4 linked regions of the Arabidopsis thaliana genome follow. The protein of the gene in region 2 interacts with the protein of the main gene of each other region in a biochemical or structural test. Each region holds a gene or a part of one and is shown on either strand. Other genes may lie near its edges. The genes, in order: CDKB2;1, CYCD4;1, CDKB1;1 and CDC2.

Region 1 (4,358 bases), on a different chromosome or scaffold from region 2:
GTGTCTTGTTTCTTTTGGCTAAAGAGATGGGGCCATTCCTGCTATGACCCTGATTCTTGGAGGAAACTTACTTAAAGGAATGAGGAGGTCGGAAGTGAGGAGTTCAGAAATGAAAAACTCCTGCATTATCGGCGTCTTGGTAGCTCGTTACATTTTGCTACCTGTAAGCGGTGTTTTACTCGTGAGAGGAGCATACAAGTTGGATTTAGTAACCTCAGAACCCTTGTACCAATTCGTTCTTCTTCTTCAGTATGCTGTCCCACCAGCCATGAATCTAGGTGCATGGCTTGAAACCAACTCCTTAAAATACAGTTACTTCTTTCAGATAAGATACATCACTAGTTTCCCTTACTTTTCAGGTACAAAGACCCAATTATTCGGCGCTGGGGAGAGTGAATGCTCTGTGATTATGCTTTGGACTTACTCTTTGGCTGCAGTTTCACTCACTGTTTGGCCAACATTCTTCATGTGGCTTGTGACATAAATCCCCACACTCGATCTTGTTATATGTATCCATTTATTCAAGAACTTATTCTTAGACTTCCAGATGACTGGATCATTATAATTGCGAATAGTCTTAAGAACATTAAAGCCGTTAATCCAAATATTCGAATAGAAAGAAACAACAATCAGAAGTGATATATTATGCTAAAGAAAGGATGATTCATAGAGGGGGAAGCAGCACACTAGAGATATGCTTGAAAGAAGCAAAACTAGAAAAACCATAAAACTTGGAAAGATACTAACTGAAGATTTTAAATCCTTAGAGAGAGGACTTTTCTGGCAGATCATCAAAGTAAGGATGCTCCATAGCCATCTTTGCTGAGATTCGTTTCGCTGGCTCGTACTGCAGCATTTTCTGTTCCAGGAAGATAAAAACGCAATTAGTTCGTCTGTTGAGTTTGTTTTGGTAGCTAGTTAATAAACTTTAGACTTACAGATAGAAGATCAACTCCAGCCTCGTCGAGGTTTGGAACAGCAGAGGATAGAGTCGATGGTTTCCACTGTGGGTATTCATGCCAGTTCTTGAGTGTGCTCACTCCTGGCCACATTTCTTCATTGGGTGTCCCAAACAACCTGAGTTGTACACCGGAAAGAGCGGCAAAATGAAAAAAGGTTTTCTTATGTTTGTCATGTAAAAGGTGAAGAATCAACAAAGACTTACTTGAAAATATGGAGGAGCTGTTGGAGCTCAGAGTCTCCCTGAAAGATTGCTTGGTTGGTCACAAGTTCAGCTGTAAATGGTGAAGGAACAATGTTAATTGTTGTTGTTTAGTAACTTAAGATGATATCGCAGTGACTAGTGAAATCAACGAGTCTGAAAAGAACACATACCAAATATGCAGCCAACAGACCACATATCCACAGCTGTAGAGTAATGGGTGGCACCAAGAAGAACCTCTGGAGCTCTATACCAAAGAGTTAATATCTGTTGCAATGAACAACCGATTCAAAACCATAAGTTCTACAATACATACAAAGTGGGATAAGTGCAAGAAGCAGTGTCAAACATTGATTACCTCATGGGTATACTTCTTCATTGGCAGAGTGAAGGCTCTGGCTAAACCAAGATCTGCTATTTTGAGCCTCATTGTCTTGGGATCCATCAAGAGATTGTGAGGCTTGAGATCTCTGTTTTGAAACAAGGAGAAATAGTAAGAAGAAGAAATCTCTCTTCCAAGTTATTATCTAAAATCATTCTCACTTAGAAGTTGAAAACAAGGGAAAGCCAGAGAACAATTCACCTGTGCAATATCCCGTGACCATGGCAGAATGCCATACCTTTGCATAGTTGATACATCAAGCTCTGCAAATAACTTTTCAGAATGTTATGTTTGGTTCAAGTGAGCACAAATGAAGCGAGAAAGAGAGATGACAGTAATAAGGTGGTTAAAAACCTTGATAGTTTGGGTTGGAATGTTCTTGCCAGTGCTACGGAAACTTCTGATGAATTTCTTGACATCAGTGTCCATGTATTCAAAAACCAGGTACAGTACAGTTTTGCCTTCTTTGCTTAGTCCTTGCTTAACATCCATTAACCTGAAAAAGATGACAAATAAAGTTTCCGTATATAATTGATTTTGCAATCACTGGAAAACTAACTGATACAGCGATCCAGATCAAACTCTAGGGAAACATCTATCAACAGTTTCTCAGAGCCAAATCATCTAACAATTAGTAGACTCTTCGAACTGATTACTACGATTTGAAATTGAGATCTATCTAATCTGGAAAACAAGCGAGATAGTGAGAAATCGACTATATAAACCCTAACGCGACTACAAGATCGAGAATATGGGGGCAATTTTATCGAATCAGAGGTAAAACCCTAACCTGACGACGTGAGGATCACGAGCGAGCATTCGCAAAATGGAGATCTCGCGGAGAGTGGTGGAAGGAACGCCTTCTTCGTCCTCATGGAGACGCGTCTTCTTTAGAGCGACGATTTTCCCGGTAGCTTTCTCTCTGGCTCTGTAAACTTTCCCGTATGTCCCTTCACCAACTTTCTCAAGCTTCTCGAAAGCATCCATGGCGGAAACTGCTATAACTCCCTCGTCCATCGCTCTCTAAAATTCTTCTTCTCCGGCGCTCTCTCTCTCTCAGTTGGTTCTTATTGGGAAAGTGAATTGTCGGAGATCAAAGTGTAGATAGGTTATATAATTAAATGAGACCTGAAATTATAGAATCCTTATTCTTGGGCTTTCACAACGGACTGATTTTTCGAAATTCAAACTGGAGCGTGGAGGAGCGGTCTTTTCATAAACGCCTTTTTTTAATTTGCCACGTACTATAGTATTTAATTTTAATTTTTACATTTATTCATTTGTGTCCACTTGTCATATATATCCGTAGGTACTTTGATTTGGTCGCACCATATACAAATTATGATCGAGAAGGCAACAAGAAGATTAGTGAACCCAAACACAGACTTCTTCATTAAAAAAGCATTACTCAAATCCTTTAACTTTGAATATCCTTTTCCTAAACTCAACTTTGAACAATAAAGTTTGCGTAAATCAGAAGACGACTTCAAAATGGAAAGAGAGAGAGAGAGAGAGAGCTAATGAAGTTTATGGTTAAAGGGAAAACCAAAACAATAAAAAAATCTTTAAGCAAATTGCTGACCGCTGGTGGAAGAAGATGAGATCGTAGTGAGAACATCAGTCACCGAGGCCATAACACTCAATGCCGCTTTCAAAACATCTTGAGAGCAACCCGGTTTCACAATCGTCCTCACCTGATCAAGATACTCCTGCAGCTTCTTGATTTTCCCCATGTAATCCTGGTCTTCTACACACAGACTTACCGCCTTTGCATCTGCACCTGGACCATCATACTGGACTGGTCCTGGGTTTCGGTACATATCTTCCATCAAGAATTTCTGCGCGTTTTGTCTCAATAGACTGCAAAATCATTTGACAAATTATATCACTTGATTTCATGTTCATTCTAATCTTTGTCTAATGAGTGAGGAACAAAAGCTTACTCGTATGCTTTTCCTTTCAAGTCAACTGAAGCTGGATGAATTACAGGTCTACCAATCGTAGTAGAACCAGAATTTTGGGACCAACGCTTAACCGTCATCATTGCCTAAGGTTAAACAGAGAAAGAGATTGGGGTCAGTAAAACTGAAACTTGAAGTCAGAAATCAACACATATACTAAACAACTTTAGCCTTATAAATAAGAGACAAAACTCAACTGAGATAGGCGCAGCCCCGCATTTCCATTTGTTTACAGGACTCTTCAGGTTAGTCACTGTCGCCATGTAACCATTCAAACCAGCTGCGAGGATGTGGTAACATACATGTCCAAGAACCTGCATCAAAGTTATAATCAATGGTGTGAATGTCCATAATATTGAAGTTGCAATAGCATTTTAGTTTGGCGATCACATACATAGGCGTAGTCACAATCGAATTTTGATGGAAGAGATCCACGAGCTTGGTAACCAAAAAAGTGACAGATAGCGTTGAATTTCTTCCCTTTGTAGGTTCCTTCTTTCTGTCATTTTCAAAACTTAGTTTTAGGGACAACTTGAATATTCAGGCAAGGTTATTCAAAAAAATTTGAAAAAAATGGATTGTGACAAGTGAAAAAGATGTGCAACATACCAAGCGCTTGTTCATTTCAGTCTCCACAAGATAAGCCAGAAGTTTCTCCGTCTCAATCTAAGAAGAAAGTAAATGAGCAATTAGAATTCCAACTTTTTATAGCACAGTAACTCCATCATTTTCTTTCTTCTTACCTGGGATAGCTGAGCAGAATCATCAGACTCGGGATGGAGAAGTAGCTGCAGAAACAAAGAAGACAATTTATCATAAGAACACATACTCGTTTACATGTGAGAAAAAACAA
Region 2 (4,879 bases):
TTATTTCAGGATCATCAAATTGCTAGTATGCCATGCGACAATGGTAGACCCAAATGATTAAATTTAATGAATATAGCATTGGCCCATTTTCTTCATAGTTACAGATCCTAGAGGTTTAGTGGACCTGGAGTCCAATCATTTTATTTATTTTTTGTTAAAAAGTTTTCAATAAAATATTGGGATTTTGGAGTTTTGTTGATAAAAGGTATAAAACGCAAAAGCTCCATAAAGCACAACCTAGCTTTGGTCTCTTTACGTCAACTTTAAGTCAAAGACTTCTGTTCGTGGGCCCAATTCTAAGCCCATTAGTGCGATGCGCGCTTTATCTCACAACGGCACCGTTTGAATTAAAAAAGGTCAACTCTAACGCTCAACAGAACCGATACGGTTTTTTCCCGCTATATTTATTTGGCGGGAACCAATTAAAAAAAGCTCTGTTTTTCCTTTGTTTTATTTTCTTTCTCTTTTTTGCTATTTCCTGCCAACAAAAAATTCTTATAATTTTATTTGTTCAGTATTACCAAAGCTATAAACAAATCAAATATTGAAATTAATACACTTTTATTTATTTAAAAATTTTTGCTTTGATTTATTGTCCTCTTTTTTCAACCTCTCATCAGACATCATACTGATTATAATAATGTAAGAAAAAAACAGTTTTTTTTTTAAGAAAGATGTGTATAAGAAGAAGAAGAATCATGGGTCTTAAAGCTGAAACAACAAGCCGATACTTCTAAAACCCCATTGGGTGTTTGTGAACATAAGTCTGAGCCATCACTCTCTATCATTTCCCCTATCTTCTTCACTCTCTCCTGCAATAAAAGGAACCACAAAGTTTAAAGCTTGACACTTTTGTTTTTGTCTCTTGAACACAAACACAAACACAACACACAAAGATCTCTTCAGCTTTTTCTGGTGTAGAAAAACAACTAATGGAAACCAGGCTGATGTTTTGGATTGCAAGATCAAATCAGAATCAAACATGTTTTTGTGGGGGCAGATTGGTTTTAGATGTGACTAGAGGCTGTGCAGTGAATGTGTGTGTGTGACAGAGAGAGTCACAAGACACATAGCTAGAGAATAATATAATTTAAAGTGGTCTTTGGTCTACTCTCCACTAGTTTTGGAAGTCAAAGGATTCAGACCCATTAACCGGTTTCTCTTTTTTTTTTTTTTTTTTTTTTTACTTTTTGGATTTATAATTACACATATTATGTGTATGCAATGAATAAGTTAGTGCACACACATATATACACATAAATGTGTCATCTTTAATGAGTTCAAACTTCTCCACAACTGGCATTTCCTTGAAATTGAACCACCAAAGGCTGCTTTATATGTGTGTGTGTGTTTGGTATTAAAAAACAATAGATTTATGAGTTTGAGATGTTTGGTGGATTGTTTTTTACCTTTTGAAGTAGTGAGAAAAGAGGAGAGAAGGAAGAGTTGTCAAAGTGTACTCTCTGCAATTCTCCAGAAACAGAAAGTGCCACAGCAGCAGCAACTTCAGAAGGTCTAAACTCCAAAAAGTCAATACCTGCTCACTCGACACAACCACCATTTTAATCCAAAATCATAAAAAGCAAAAGTGAAAAAAACAACAAAACCCAAAAAAGCACAAAAACAAAAGTGGTCAAGAAAATAAAACATAAAGGAAAGACTTTTTTTTTCACCTTTGGTTGTGCTGGCTATCACTTGTAATGATCTAGATATCAATGTGTTGGATGGTTCTTGATCACATTTACTCATCTTTCTCAGGAAATATCTTATGTATGAGCATGGAGTTATTGCTCTCAATCTCCATTTCAATTTGTTCAACACCAAAAGCTCCATTCTTTGGACTGATTTAGCCTCAAACACAAACTGAGGATCTCCAACCTGTTCCGAAATGTGATCAAACCGCAATCGATTCAAGACATTGTCGGGTCGAATAGAACATCTCGACAATTTAACGAGTTTAGAGGAGAACCTGAAGATCTATCAACATTGGAACTTCAGTTTCTTCAATTTTGGCTGCCAATGATAAACAAGCCACAGCCAACAACTGCAATATCCAACCTTTGCCACTCTACAAGAAGAATCACAAATCAAGAAGCGAAAAAATGAGACTTTTTGATGATGAATGGCTAAAAACATTATCAATCTTTTAGTTTAACCAATGTGAACTTACAGGCAAATCATGAACCGATAAGAATCGATCCAAGTAGTTCATTGCTAAGCAAAAACACAATGGTCCAAACTGGTGTACTTCACAAGCCTGTTGTAATCAGAACAGAAGAAAAGATCAATTAGAGATCTAAAACTCTGAGACTGAAGTGAATCTATTGTCAATTGAAGTGTGAAAGATCGGAAATTGAGCATCAGATTTACAGATTTAAGACAAAACCTCTCTATCTGTTCTGCATAAGCCTCTGATCTAATAGACATAGCAACACACTCTTTATGTTCAGATCATTCATCAAAAGGATTGTGCTTTTCACAATTTGAGCTTATACAGATCATTCAAAACCAATCAACATCCAAATTTCAAAACCAGAAATCAAAATCAAATAGAGAATCAGACCTTCCAAATCCAATTGAGGGCATCTCTTCTTCCAACATTCAAATCCAAATCTCCACTTCTAAGTCTCTTGATGTAATCATCACTTGGCAAATGCTGCTTCTCCTTCTCCACCATCTCCATGATAATCTCCTCACTCTCCGATTGAGAAAAACCCATCTGAGGAATCGAAATTTCAATCGGAGTTTCGTCAACAATCATGCCCTCATCATCAACGTTGCTCTCTGTACATAAAAGACTCAGTTCTAGATTCTCCTCTGCCATTACAACAGAGTGTTCATGTAAGAAAAATTGATCCTTTGTATTTGGTAATCGATCTAAAAGGAACTGTATCGTTAGATTGTCATCTAGAGATTGGGGAAGTGAAAGAAAGATTGGGTCTTTGATATTTCTGTATGCCCTCGTGGAGGAAGGGGTTTTTGTTTTGGGGTTGAGGGTAAAATTAAAGGGTGAAGCTTTTCTTTTTTTTATTGAGGAAGTTAAGAAATGTGGTTTTTAGGGTAAGATGGAGATTGTGTGAGAAGGAGAGAGGCTATATATAATGGTGAAGAAGATGAAAAATGTAAGATAAAATTTGAAGATTTTAGAAAGTGAATTGACTATCATGGTAACAAATGTGAGAAGTTGGAAAATTATGAAAATGTGGTAGGAAATTGAGGTGAGAATTGAAAAGTTAGTTGGTTTTATTCGTTGTATTTTAGTTTTTAGATGATGAATCGAGTGAATATCGTTGGTAGTTCGGTATCAGATTTGCGCCATAAGTTTTTTGGAATTTGTATTTCGGTCTTGTATGCATAGTTAACAGTTAACATTTTTGTATATTCAATGGTAAAATATTGAATGTTGAAAGATTTAATCATAGTATATGTCTTTACATATTTTTTGATATTTCATAATTTTATTCCTTGTTTTAATAACAGTAAAATATATATAGTTTGACTAATAGTTTAAAACAGTATTGAATTCTATAAATCTTAGGAAATATTTTTTAACAAAATTGTTTGACTAAATAATGCAATTTGATATTATGATCGAAATATACGCTGAATCATGATATTTTATTTTCAATATCCGACATTGAACAAAATAAAAATGACCCCAAAAAAACTAATGTAAATTCATGCCACAAATAAAAAGAAGTTTTGAATGTAAAATTTGACTCAAAATCCATCTATAATGATATTTGAACCATTTGCTCTGGTAGATCTTTGACCACTGTTTTTTGATTCTAGGGTCACTTTTAGACACAATAATTTCAATATCTATCATCATTGCATATACCTTTGAATGAAAAAGCAGACTGTATATTTGTATAAGAACTACGTCATATACTCATTTAAGTTCAAAATATGGTCTCTGTTTGTTACACAATATGGTCTTTGTTTTTTACACATTATGGTCTTTCTTTAATATGGTTTTAGTTTACCCAAATATACTGTCTTCTGTTTTACCCAACTTATAAGATTTAACTATAAGGTTTTTAATATTTATAAAAGTATTTATTTTTGTTCTCTTGCAAGTTGAGGTCAATAACTAGTGCTCTATCACCTCCAAAGATTCTACATTAGTATATTTGTAAGGAGATTAGTATTTTTTATTTATAAATAGTAATTAGTAATTTTCTACCACATGAAAATAAAGCTAGCTACGCGACGAGTTGCTTGAAAACACCACACGAGAATTTCTTGCTTGAGGTTACATGGCAAATAGTCATCGAGCCACTGGTTTCAACTTTCAACTACTATATAGTCATGTTATGGAATGAAACATCAAACATTAGCTCATTGTCATTTTAGTTAACAAAGTCGTATTTTGTAGGAAGCAAATGAATTACACAAAATTCATTGCAATAATAAAGAAAATTTTTCCTTGAAAACGATTATCTTACTTTCAAAAATCAAATTTCATTCTATATTATATCTGTTATTCTTACAATTTTCATATTTTCTCGTTTCTTCATTATCAGTCGGAGTCTTAAAAAATTGTAAAGATAAACTCCTGTTCATACAATATATTCTTATCCAACTAAGTTTTAGAAATCACCGATGCGCACCAAAACACACAGCTTTTTGAAATTGTAAAGTAGAAACAAGTCTACAACTATACGACCGCAAAAAACCCTTTAACATAAATTAAAAAAAAAAAAAACTATACGACCGCGAGCATGTTTGATCTTTCGGTTTGTAGAATTTTATAAGATATAAAAGAAATGTATTATATCATTTTACCAAGGTGCTCTTTTATTTTGTTGGTAGTGTAGTAGTAAGTATAGTAATAACGTGATTGTGACAATCACGTGTCAGCTAATAAACTTTGATG
Region 3 (4,130 bases), on a different chromosome or scaffold from region 2:
ATTATTGGTGTTTTGTGGGATGATCCAGCGGGATCAATCAATATCAGCAATATATTGACTGGGAAATGCTTAGCTAAAATAACACCAAGCAGTGGGCCTCCAAAAGATGATGAGAGCAGCAGCAGTAATTGTATGGGAAAGAACTCAAAGCAAAGAAGAAACGCTGTAGCTGAAGCTTTGGAAGACATAACCGCTCTTTTCTACGACGAAGAACGCAATGAGATATACACAGGAAACAGACACGGCCTTGTTCATGTGTGGTCCAATTGATTTCACATACATCGTCATCGTTAGCTGCTACTACTACTACTACGAATGTATCATTTGGTTTCCTTCAATTGTGTGTAGCGATAAATCTTTTTAACTTAGTGTCTTTGAGCAGCCATCTGTGTTGTAAACCATTTGTGGGCAAGTGTGCGCGTCAGAATGCCAGTTGTGTACACTAATACCATTGTACGTAACATTTGGGTTTTGACAATTCTATGAAAGACCCTTTATTCCACCTGTAAGGTCTCACTTTAATTTTCAAAATTGACTTGATTCAGATAGTTGAGCATCAACTTTGTATGATTACACAAAAACAAGCGATTGATAGAAAATCATCTCATTGCTACCACACCATTGTGTTTTACATTCACTTGAGAATACAAGCTTTACCAGTTTCTTCTGAAAGACTACAAATCTCTAAACCAAACATAAGACACTAATGTGTCGGAAACAAAGATAGATCAAATGTTTAAATTCACCAAGACGATGACAACAGATACAGCAATGAACTTCAGAACTGAGACTTGTCAAGGCTGTCAAAATATGGGTGATCAAGTGCTGTTTTTGCTGAAATTCTTTCGGCTGGATTGTACTTGAGCATTTTCTGCAATTGTACAAACATAAGCTCAATCAGAAAGATTTAACCAAGCAATTCAGCTTAGGAAAAAAAGAGGGAAGCAGAAGCAAGAGGTAACAATATTAGAGCAACTTTGCAACAAAGCTATGGTCATCAGGGAGTTATTTACCGTGAGAAGATCAACTCCTTGAGGTGAAAGAGAAGGAACAGCAAGAGTTAAGTCTTGCGGCTCCCACTTAGGGTAAACATGCCAGTCACGCAGTGTGGAAACACCCGGCCATTGCTGCTCAGTTGGTGTTCCTAGCAACCTCCATGAACCAAATAGGAACCATTAGTAAAGATCATAGTCTCTATTCAAGAATGCTAAATCCATTGAATAATTGGTCAAAGAAACCTGGACTATATAGAATCAGTTGTTCTCAATTGGTAAGCTAGCATATCATTCAGTGATGCAATTCACACTGAAACAGGACAAAACCAGAAGAAGTAATGGAAGGTAAATTCAAAATACCTGAAGATATGAAGCAATTGCTGAAACTCAGAATCACCAGGGAAAAGAGCTTGCCTCCGAACCATCTCAGCTATACAAATTCAAAGATTGAAACAGCATAAATACAAAATCACATCGCAGAGAGACGAATTCAAAAACATAAAAGCATAATTGAGACTACTAACCAAAGATACAACCAACAGACCACATGTCAACACCAGTTGAATAATGAGTAGATCCAAGAAGAACTTCAGGAGCTCTATACCAAAGAGTAACAATCTCATGCGTATAAGACTTAAGAGGAACAGTAAAAGCACGACCAAGACCCAAATCAGCAATCTTAAGAAGCTCTTTATCTTTCACCAGAAGAAGATTCTGCGGTTTAAGATCACGGTGAAGCACACCATGACTATGACAATGCGCAACACCTTTACAAAGCTGAAACATCAACTTCTGAATCAAAAAAGGCTCAAGAGGCTTAGGATTAGGTCCTTTCCTATACGAATCGATGAATTTCTTAAGATCAGTATCGAGATACTCGAAAACGAGATAGAGATTGGATTTGGTAGATTGAGATTTGGTTGATGGTTGATGAACATGTTCGACGCAGAGTAATCGAACAACATAGATCGATGTTGATAACATCTGGAGAAGCGAGATCTCACGAAGAGCAGTTGGTGGAATACCTTCTTCGTCCATCTCGAGACGAGTTTTCTTCAGAGCAACAAGCTTACCAGTTCCTTTCTCCATCGCTTTGTAGACTTTCCCGTATGTTCCTTCTCCGACCTTCTCTAGCTTCTCGTACTTCTCCATTTCTGAGAGGTTTCGTAAAATTGAACTGTGTTGGTTTCTGGACTTTTGATTAACCCTATTATTTGATCAGATTAATGAAGATGATGGATTGTGAGAGAGAGAGAGAGAGATGCTTTCGCTAAGATACTTCCACGTCACTTCGTTTTTCCCGCTCCTTTGGATTTTGAATTCGTTCGTGACAACTGCAACAGATTAACCTAAAGTCGTGACCTCTGTGAATGTTTTTGGGGAAAACTAATTGGACTCACTTATTTTGGTCTAATCTGATATCTACTCAGATGATTTGCGTGAGTTGACGAGTTCAAATTCTTCACGAGTTATATCGGGAAGCCACATATCGATATCGAAACACCAATGGTGCGAATTAAAACATATTAATAGAAGATGAAGATTAGAACTTTCTGTTTCATGAAACAGATAACGAATGAAGAAATGTGATTTTGAACTTCAAAATGTACAAAACATTTTTTGAAAGCTACAAATTCCTATTCTCCACCAGCAATTTCTTCTTTTGCATCTTCATCAATTTCATCAACTTCATCTTTCTTGTCACCTACTAGCTCAGACACAATTTCCAGTCCTTTCTTTACTCTCTCTATCTCCTTCTCTTTCTCTTCCAGTTTCTCTTGCAATATTATCACCTGAGATTTATCAAAGTCACATATTTCCAACAAAACCATAATCATTCTTCCGTTTTAAGAAAAATCTTGAGGAATTAAGAGATAAGAGAAAAGGATCAACACCGTTTCATTTGATCTCTCAACATCATTAGTTAATTCCTCCATGTGTTTGTACAGTCCTGCATTCCACAAAAATCCTCAAATCCAAATTGCAAACTCTACAAAAATCTTTGCTATAACTTAATATCAACATATGACTTACCTTCAAATTGACTTCTAAGTTCCGCGTTTTGAGACTTCTGCATTGCAAGCTTTATTGCTAGTTCATGAATCTGCCATTCCACATGAACATAGGCAAGCATCAATTTCTTTACCCTTTTCAGGGAATCATGTTTTACAAAGGTTGAAGAAGACTACTGCTTTACTATATAATTCATATAATTCCAGATTGAAGACTGAGAGTAGAACAAACTATACCTTTCCTTCGGCAGCTTGGTGCCCAATCTCCTCATTTTCCTCTTGCAGGGTTCTGCACTTTGCCATAAGCATCTTTCCATTCTTGCTTTGAGGAGTAAAAGTAACTGCTGCAATGTTGTCCTGGAGTTCCTTGATCTTCTTGTCTTTTTCCTCTACTAGATTCTGCATAATAGAAACATGGAATCAAACTTCATCTACTCTTTACTTAACTGCAACAAATGTACATTAACAAAAAGTTGGGAATGTTCGTCCTCAACTGTATCTACTACGACAGTGTCAGCTATCAGTTATTAAGGAATTATTCTTTCAGGCCATTCATAACGAAAGCGGAATTTTGTTCCGTAGATACAGTTTGGATTATCTAAGGATATATTACGACAAATACATCCTTATGAAAAAGTAGTCTAAGGGTAAATAGAAACGAGTAGGTGCAGACCTTCAGACGTGAAAATTCTTCATGAATTGCTGGATCCAGTAACAACCTCCTCGCCTACAAAGGTAAACAAAGAATAAATAATCTACACTGCTATCTGATCATGACAAGCTGCTAAATGACCATTGCAATTCAAAATTTATAGCCATTTCTTCTATTCAGACTTGTTAATAATTCAGATGCCAGGTAAAGGTTTACAAGAAACATGCGCTTATCATCGTATTCAGACTGAAATCTAAAAGGCAAGGAAAAGGTTTCCCTCTACATGCATCAAGGTCGAGGATGACCGTCATAAAAGGTACACTACGGCATAAAAAGCGGACTATGCCTAGAAAAGTCCAAGTTACTTCAACAGCTAACTTTTTTCACGATTTGTATTGTTGGCACAATTGTATAAATTATTCCAGAATCAAAACATTGGGAGAACTATATACCTGCATTGACGCTGGCTTG
Region 4 (5,681 bases), on a different chromosome or scaffold from region 2:
TAGAAATTATGTTATAATATTCACTAAGGAAAGTTTATATACGAAATTTTAAAACGTAAAAAGTATAAATGCACTTTGATAATCATACATATATTCATGAATAAATAGATCGGTCTATTTTACACGAGGCTATGCTTTTTTGAGTTTTTCAGACACTTAAGTTTATGCCTCCCATTGGACTTGATTTTCAGAATGGAAGCGTCTTTGCTTAGTGAATAGATTGAAACCACTGCTAACTAACACTGAAATGGTTATCAGGTACCTTCATTTAGTTTCGAATTAGATTATTGACATTTGATCTACTTCGAATTTCGACCAACTGTAAAATGTAATCCAAACTATCGAATACGTGTTGAATTGTTCTTCTCGTCAATTTATTTGTCAGCTTTTTCTGGTCAACTTTGGTCTCATTAATGATTGGCTACTTGGACCCTCTTGTCTCATTAAAAACGGTGCACCCTTTATAAATAGGAAATTAAGATCGACGGACCATATATACTAGTTATCAAATGACGTCGTAACTCGTAAATAAGTACTAATGAAATCGAAAAAAGTGATGTTTTTTGGGATATATTTCAAAAGATCACTATCAAGGCACAATCAAGAAGCTGAGAAGTTGCATAATATGGTCATTTTGCAAAACAAAAACCATATTTCATATAGGGAAATACTATATTCTGGGTAAAATAAGATACAAGAAACTGATCTCAAAAGCTTAGAAGTAAAAAAAAACACACTCGAAATCTTCTTCTTTCTTTTTTTTCGTAATAGAATATAAGTAGGAAACGAACTCAGAAAAAGAATAAACAAAACCCATTAATATTGTTCTTCATTTTCTTAGGATTGATAATTATATATAGAATGAAGGAGATTACTGGTTTTATGCCTTTCTAAGGCATGCCTCCAAGATCCTTGAAGTATTCATGCTCCAGGGCGGCTCTTGCGTTGATTCTTTTGGTCGGATCCATTAACAGCATTTTCTGAAACAAATCAAGCAGAGAGATATATTATCATCTTTGCTTTCACAGGAGCTCAAAATCTTAGATTTCTATCCAGATGTCTGGTTTGGTTAGGAATTTCAAGAATCCTGGTTTTTGAAGATTGTTCATATTTCAAACAAGTTTGGTTTTGGCTTCATGTGGTTTTGAAACTATGAAGCCTAATCGAATTGGTTTTAGTACGCCGGCTCTTGATGACTTTATAAGACATCTAAAACCTCAAATGGTTAAAAGGTTTTTAGTAAGAAACATGAGACCAGATCCATCACAATCAAGCATACAGGTCTCTAATAGCAGAAGTAGTGTGTCTATATATGTGTGTGTATATATCTAGCTCAGTGAACTTACAGAAAGGAGATCGACTCCATCGGGATCTAGATTGGGGACAAAAGTTTCTAGGTCCTGTGGTATAAGAAAAAAAAACAAGGGCAAGAATTAATATATGTTGTGAACTCTTGACTACTGAAGACAAGATGTACAAGCGAATAAAGACATTTGAAGTACCGTTGGTTTCCATTTAGGGAAAGCAGATTTATAATCCGGTAGAGAAGTTACCCCACGCCATGTATCCTCGTACGGAGTTCCCATGATTCTAGAAGAAGACAACAAAACAAGGCAGTAACAGATTTATAATCAGTTAACAATTCAATTTCTGTGTCCTTTACTACTTCTCCAAAATGTGATATCAAGTTGAAAATGTTTCCACAATCCCTTGTGATATCATTGCAGACAAGTCTTTGCACTTGTAATATATAGAGGAATATTGGACTGGGGAAGTTAGCAATTAAACCTGAAAATCTTGAAGAGTTGATCAATCTCGGAGTCTCCAGGAAATAAGGGCTTTTGGCTGATCATCTCAGCAAATATGCACCCCACAGACCAAATATCAACAGGTGTAGAGTAATGATGAGATCCTAGGAGTATCTCTGGTGCTCGGTACCAGAGAGTAACAACCTAAAGGAACAATATGCAAAAATTGTGTGAATAACCAGGAAGAGATCTGAAATCTGGATGTAGCATTGAAATATTTTACAGTATCTTGAACTAGCTTACTTCAACCGTCTATGTGAAATGGCTTAGTCCTTTTCATCACATTTATCAGACACATAAGTGGTATAATACTTAATTTACATTACACTCATAAGGAATGCAGCCAGCCAAAAGATTTCATAACGGGAACATATGAACAAGGAATAAAGCTCTTTGGTACCTCATGAGTAAATGTCCTGACAGGGATACCGAATGCTCTGGCCAGTCCAAAATCAGCAAGCTTCAGTGAGTTTGTGCGGCGATCAATCAACAAATTCTGTGGCTTCAGATCACGATGGAGAACCCTATGAGAGTGGCAATACGCAATTCCACGGAGAATCTGGTAAAGATATGTCTGAAAATAGTGGATGAACAGCTCTGATCAGCTTATATTGAGTATTGAGTTTAAGCACATATATAAAACAATGCCTAAAGTTTCTTAGCACTCACTTTGATCATATGTAGATCCTTGGAGAAATCAGGAGTAGAATCCATGTGCTTTTTGAGATCCAAGTCAAGATACTCAAAAACCAGATACAAACGTTTCTCGCTGTGCACCACATCCTGCAATCTGTGTAGCAAAAAACATCAATCAAAATTGTTTACCAGAGTCATCATGCTGAATCAGTTTTCAACAATGGTATTAACATCATACTTGACAATGTTGCTGTGCTGCATTTCTTTCAAGAGGGAGATTTCTCTGATTGCTGTGCTAGGAACACCTTCATCCTCCTGCTCTAGCCTGATCTTCTTCAAAGCAATTGTCTCATTAGTCACTTTGTCACGTGCCTTATAAACCACACCGTAAGTTCCTTCACCAATCTTCTCAACTTTCTCGTACTGCATTAATAAGAGCACATTAACAGAGACTCTCGTCAAAAGAGTAAGAACTGAAACAACTATTTACACCAACCTGATCCATCAATTCCTGAATAATAAAGCTGAAGTAAACTCCACACTTATAAAATGTCACCTGTAGATTGATAATGACACATCGATAATAACACATCAGAGGCTATATTAATTAAGCTGTATATCAGCACACAACAATCTCAAAATTAAAGTCAAATCTACACAAAGACGCAAAGAAACAAATCAATCTCAGATCCGAGCTACTGTGGATTTGATTCTTTGGACAGAATTATGAAAATGAACAATCAAACAAGCCAGCTGAATCCAGAGCAGCGAACTCATATATTATCAAATCCATAGAAACATAGAGCTAAAGCGAACAATCATAAACACTGATGACAAAATGCACACAAGCAAAACCAGTCTAAATCTAGTGAAACACTAAGAAACGCCACTGAAAATGCAAAACGGAGGAAAACAAGTAGAGATCAGCGACGAAGCAGTAAGATAATTGAAGATGGAGAAAAGATAAAGCGTTTGATGAATTGACAACAAAGTTCAAGTCAGAATTTCGCACGGAAAACAAGTTCCTCCTCCGGAAAAGAAATTGATCGGAGAGTAACGAAATCAACTTACCGGCGACGATCGGATGTAGTGTCAGTGAGACTAGCACACCGACGGATCCTCTCTCTTCTCTGTGGTAAAAAGGCAGTAGAGAGAGAAGGGTGGTGGTTTTCTGTGAAAAGCTTGAAGAGAGGAGGACTAGGGAAGGGGATTGACTAATTGAGAGTAAGGGTTTTTTCTTTCTTCTTTTTTTTTTTTTGTGTCAAGGAAATTTTGTTCGTTATTTTTTTTTTCTCTTCTTTAATTTCCAATAAATTGAATTTACCTAACCGCATTAATTTGGTACAATTTTATTTATTATACCGGGTTTGATTGGTATTCAATGATAAAAAAATATATCTTTTATGATGAAAATGGTTTGCTATCTTATAAAATGGTATATGAACCAAAAAAAAATCATTGCAGACCAATTATAAATCAAGAGTTTTGGTTTTACATTGGATTGTTGTCTATCTCAACGATCCATTTGACAAGCAAAATTGTATGTCCGGTTTGCTGTAACCATTTAGAATCTAAGTTAGAAAAAGACGTTTTAGATCATAAAAATGAAAATGGAGAAACATATGTATCCTGTAAGTCTTTGGAGGACCAACCAAAATATAAATGGGCAATAATATGAAAGTTGTTTTAATTAAAAAATATGTCAGTAAACAACTCAACATTTAATGTAAATAATAAAGTCTGGCACCTTGGACCAACACAAAGATAAATGATCAATAATATGAAAATCATATGTTAAATGTTGAGTTAAGAGACGAGTCTTATTCATGTGGATCTTCATCAATGCTGATTTTAGTATCTAAATTTAGTCTTTAGCAGTTATATTTATATAATAATATATATAGTATAACGTTCAATATAACCGATTTTACAAAAAAAAAAATACTTCCCAAAATCCTCGTTTATTTCGCACTTGCTCACATAAAATTTCCAAATACTTTTTTTATAAACAAACCAAAATTAATACTTGCAAGAATAACGTGAGTAGAACGAGAAAAAATAAACTATTCAATAAATCACCCTGATATTCTGATACTTTATGAAAGAAAAAAAAAAAACTCAAAATTTTGTAACTAATTAAAGAACACAAAACTTTTCTACGATATATATATCTTCAAAACTTTTATCCCAAGAGTTCAAAAATATTAAACATAAGCCGATCTCGTGATCAATTTTTTAAGTTATTCTCTGAACAAGCAACTGCCATATATTAACATTTTTAAGTAATCAAATATATATAATTGGTGAGAATTGATTTATTTTCAGATATTTCTCACATTTGTATATTTTGGGAGATTAGATATATAAAGTTTTTTCTGATAAAAGAGCTATACGGTTATCAGTTGTAAGTAAGGGAATTGGCAAAACTAACCAACAAAAAGTTTATAATTAAGAAACTAACATCAAAAGGAAAAAGAACTGATATCCTCTATATTTTGTATATTAATTCCAAGTTTACCCCTTTATCTATTTTTCTCCATTTCTCTTTCCGTCTACCTCTCTCTTCCCTTCTATCTTCCCTCCCTCTTTCTCTCTCTCCCCCTCTCTCTTTCTCTCTCTTTCTTTTTCCCTCTCCCTCTCTCTTTCTCCCAGTAAAGTCTTTACACCTACCTCGTTACTTGTTTTTGTTTTCAAATCAGAGTCTCTTAATTACTTTTGGGTGAGATTTGATTTGGGGGTTTCGAATTACAGAGGGAGGAACACAATTTGGATTCAGGGAATCGACTTTCGTTGTTGCGCTTGGTGTCTTGGTGATGAAATTGAGTTTCGTTGTTGCAATTTGAGAGATACTATTCTATTTGTAAATATACTATTTACGTATACTTTGTTTTATATACGTTTTAAAATGAATTATTTGTTTTGATTAAGGATGTTAAGTGATTTAATTATTGGTTTAGATTTAAACTCTTGGGTTCTCTATATATTATCCTTTAGGGTTTAATATCTTTCTATAAAAAAATATTGTTTATCTATATAGAACTTTATGTTATTCATTGACAACACTATTCACATCTAAATTATTTTATGTTTGTTTTCAAAAATTTAAGTCATGATATATGTAGAAAACTATACAACTTTTTAATTGATATATCATGAACTTGAATTAAATTTTTTAAGATCAGATAATATGAATTACAATTGGGAAGGGGTAAAGAAAAAAGTAAGAGAAAATGGAAC

What was found.
Region 1: the proteins of CYCD4;1 (region 2) and CDKB2;1 form a complex in vitro, tested with the Arabidopsis thaliana proteins (one study listed by BioGRID).
Region 3: the proteins of CYCD4;1 (region 2) and CDKB1;1 form a complex in vitro, tested with the Arabidopsis thaliana proteins (one study listed by BioGRID).
Region 4: the proteins of CYCD4;1 (region 2) and CDC2 form a complex in vitro, tested with the Arabidopsis thaliana proteins (2 studies listed by BioGRID).

The regions. Positions count from the first base shown.
Region 1 is NC_003070.9:28,719,791-28,724,148, forward strand, and holds CDKB2;1 (cyclin-dependent kinase B2;1), read right to left. Parts: upstream 2,761-4,358; 5' UTR 2,562-2,760; coding exon 2,335-2,561; intron 2,041-2,334; coding exon 1,899-2,040; intron 1,808-1,898; coding exon 1,746-1,807; intron 1,633-1,745; coding exon 1,521-1,632; intron 1,430-1,520; coding exon 1,336-1,429; intron 1,236-1,335; coding exon 1,166-1,235; intron 1,078-1,165; coding exon 939-1,077; intron 860-938; coding exon 764-859; 3' UTR 538-763; downstream 1-537. Other genes in the region: AT1G76530 (Auxin efflux carrier family protein), read left to right, coding at 25-278, 360-484; AT1G76550 (Phosphofructokinase family protein), read right to left, coding at 3,110-3,404, 3,488-3,591, 3,703-3,819, 3,900-4,004, 4,115-4,171, 4,249-4,293.
Region 2 is NC_003076.8:26,140,927-26,145,805, forward strand, and holds CYCD4;1 (CYCLIN D4;1), read right to left. Parts: upstream 3,068-4,879; 5' UTR 2,825-3,067; coding exon 2,564-2,824; intron 2,417-2,563; coding exon 2,387-2,416; intron 2,258-2,386; coding exon 2,171-2,257; intron 2,069-2,170; coding exon 1,970-2,068; intron 1,879-1,969; coding exon 1,674-1,878; coding exon of another isoform or gene 1,600-1,673; intron 1,538-1,599; coding exon 1,410-1,537; coding exon of another isoform or gene 1,374-1,409; exon of another isoform or gene 1,187-1,373; coding exon of another isoform or gene 1,184-1,186; exon of another isoform or gene 813-1,183; coding exon 666-812; 3' UTR 544-665; downstream 1-543. UniProt on the Arabidopsis thaliana protein: May activate cell cycle in the root apical meristem (RAM) and promote embryonic root (radicle) protrusion.
Region 3 is NC_003074.8:20,057,899-20,062,028, reverse strand, and holds CDKB1;1 (cyclin-dependent kinase B1;1), read right to left. Parts: upstream 2,359-4,130; 5' UTR 2,148-2,358; coding exon 1,520-2,147; intron 1,426-1,519; coding exon 1,356-1,425; intron 1,153-1,355; coding exon 1,014-1,152; intron 872-1,013; coding exon 779-871; 3' UTR 541-778; downstream 1-540. Other genes in the region: AT3G54190 (Transducin/WD40 repeat-like superfamily protein), read left to right, coding at 29-270; FIP37 (FKBP12 interacting protein 37), read right to left, coding at 2,633-2,788, 2,891-2,946, 3,030-3,099, 3,245-3,406, 3,681-3,734, 4,112-4,130. UniProt on the Arabidopsis thaliana protein: May control G2/M (mitosis) phase progression. Plays a role in regulating seedling growth in darkness via regulation of hypocotyl cell elongation and cotyledon cell development. Plays a role in stomatal development. Required to suppress endoreduplication.
Region 4 is NC_003074.8:18,069,506-18,075,186, reverse strand, and holds CDC2 (cell division control 2), read right to left. Parts: upstream 3,734-5,681; 5' UTR 3,516-3,733; intron 3,001-3,515; 5' UTR 2,950-3,000; coding exon 2,941-2,949; intron 2,868-2,940; coding exon 2,683-2,867; intron 2,599-2,682; coding exon 2,478-2,598; intron 2,383-2,477; coding exon 2,209-2,382; intron 1,953-2,208; coding exon 1,789-1,952; intron 1,591-1,788; coding exon 1,503-1,590; intron 1,401-1,502; coding exon 1,347-1,400; intron 981-1,346; coding exon 891-980; 3' UTR 546-890; downstream 1-545. UniProt on the Arabidopsis thaliana protein: Involved in the control of the cell cycle. Essential for both G1/S and G2/M (mitosis) phase transitions. Functions in cell morphogenesis as well as cell proliferation.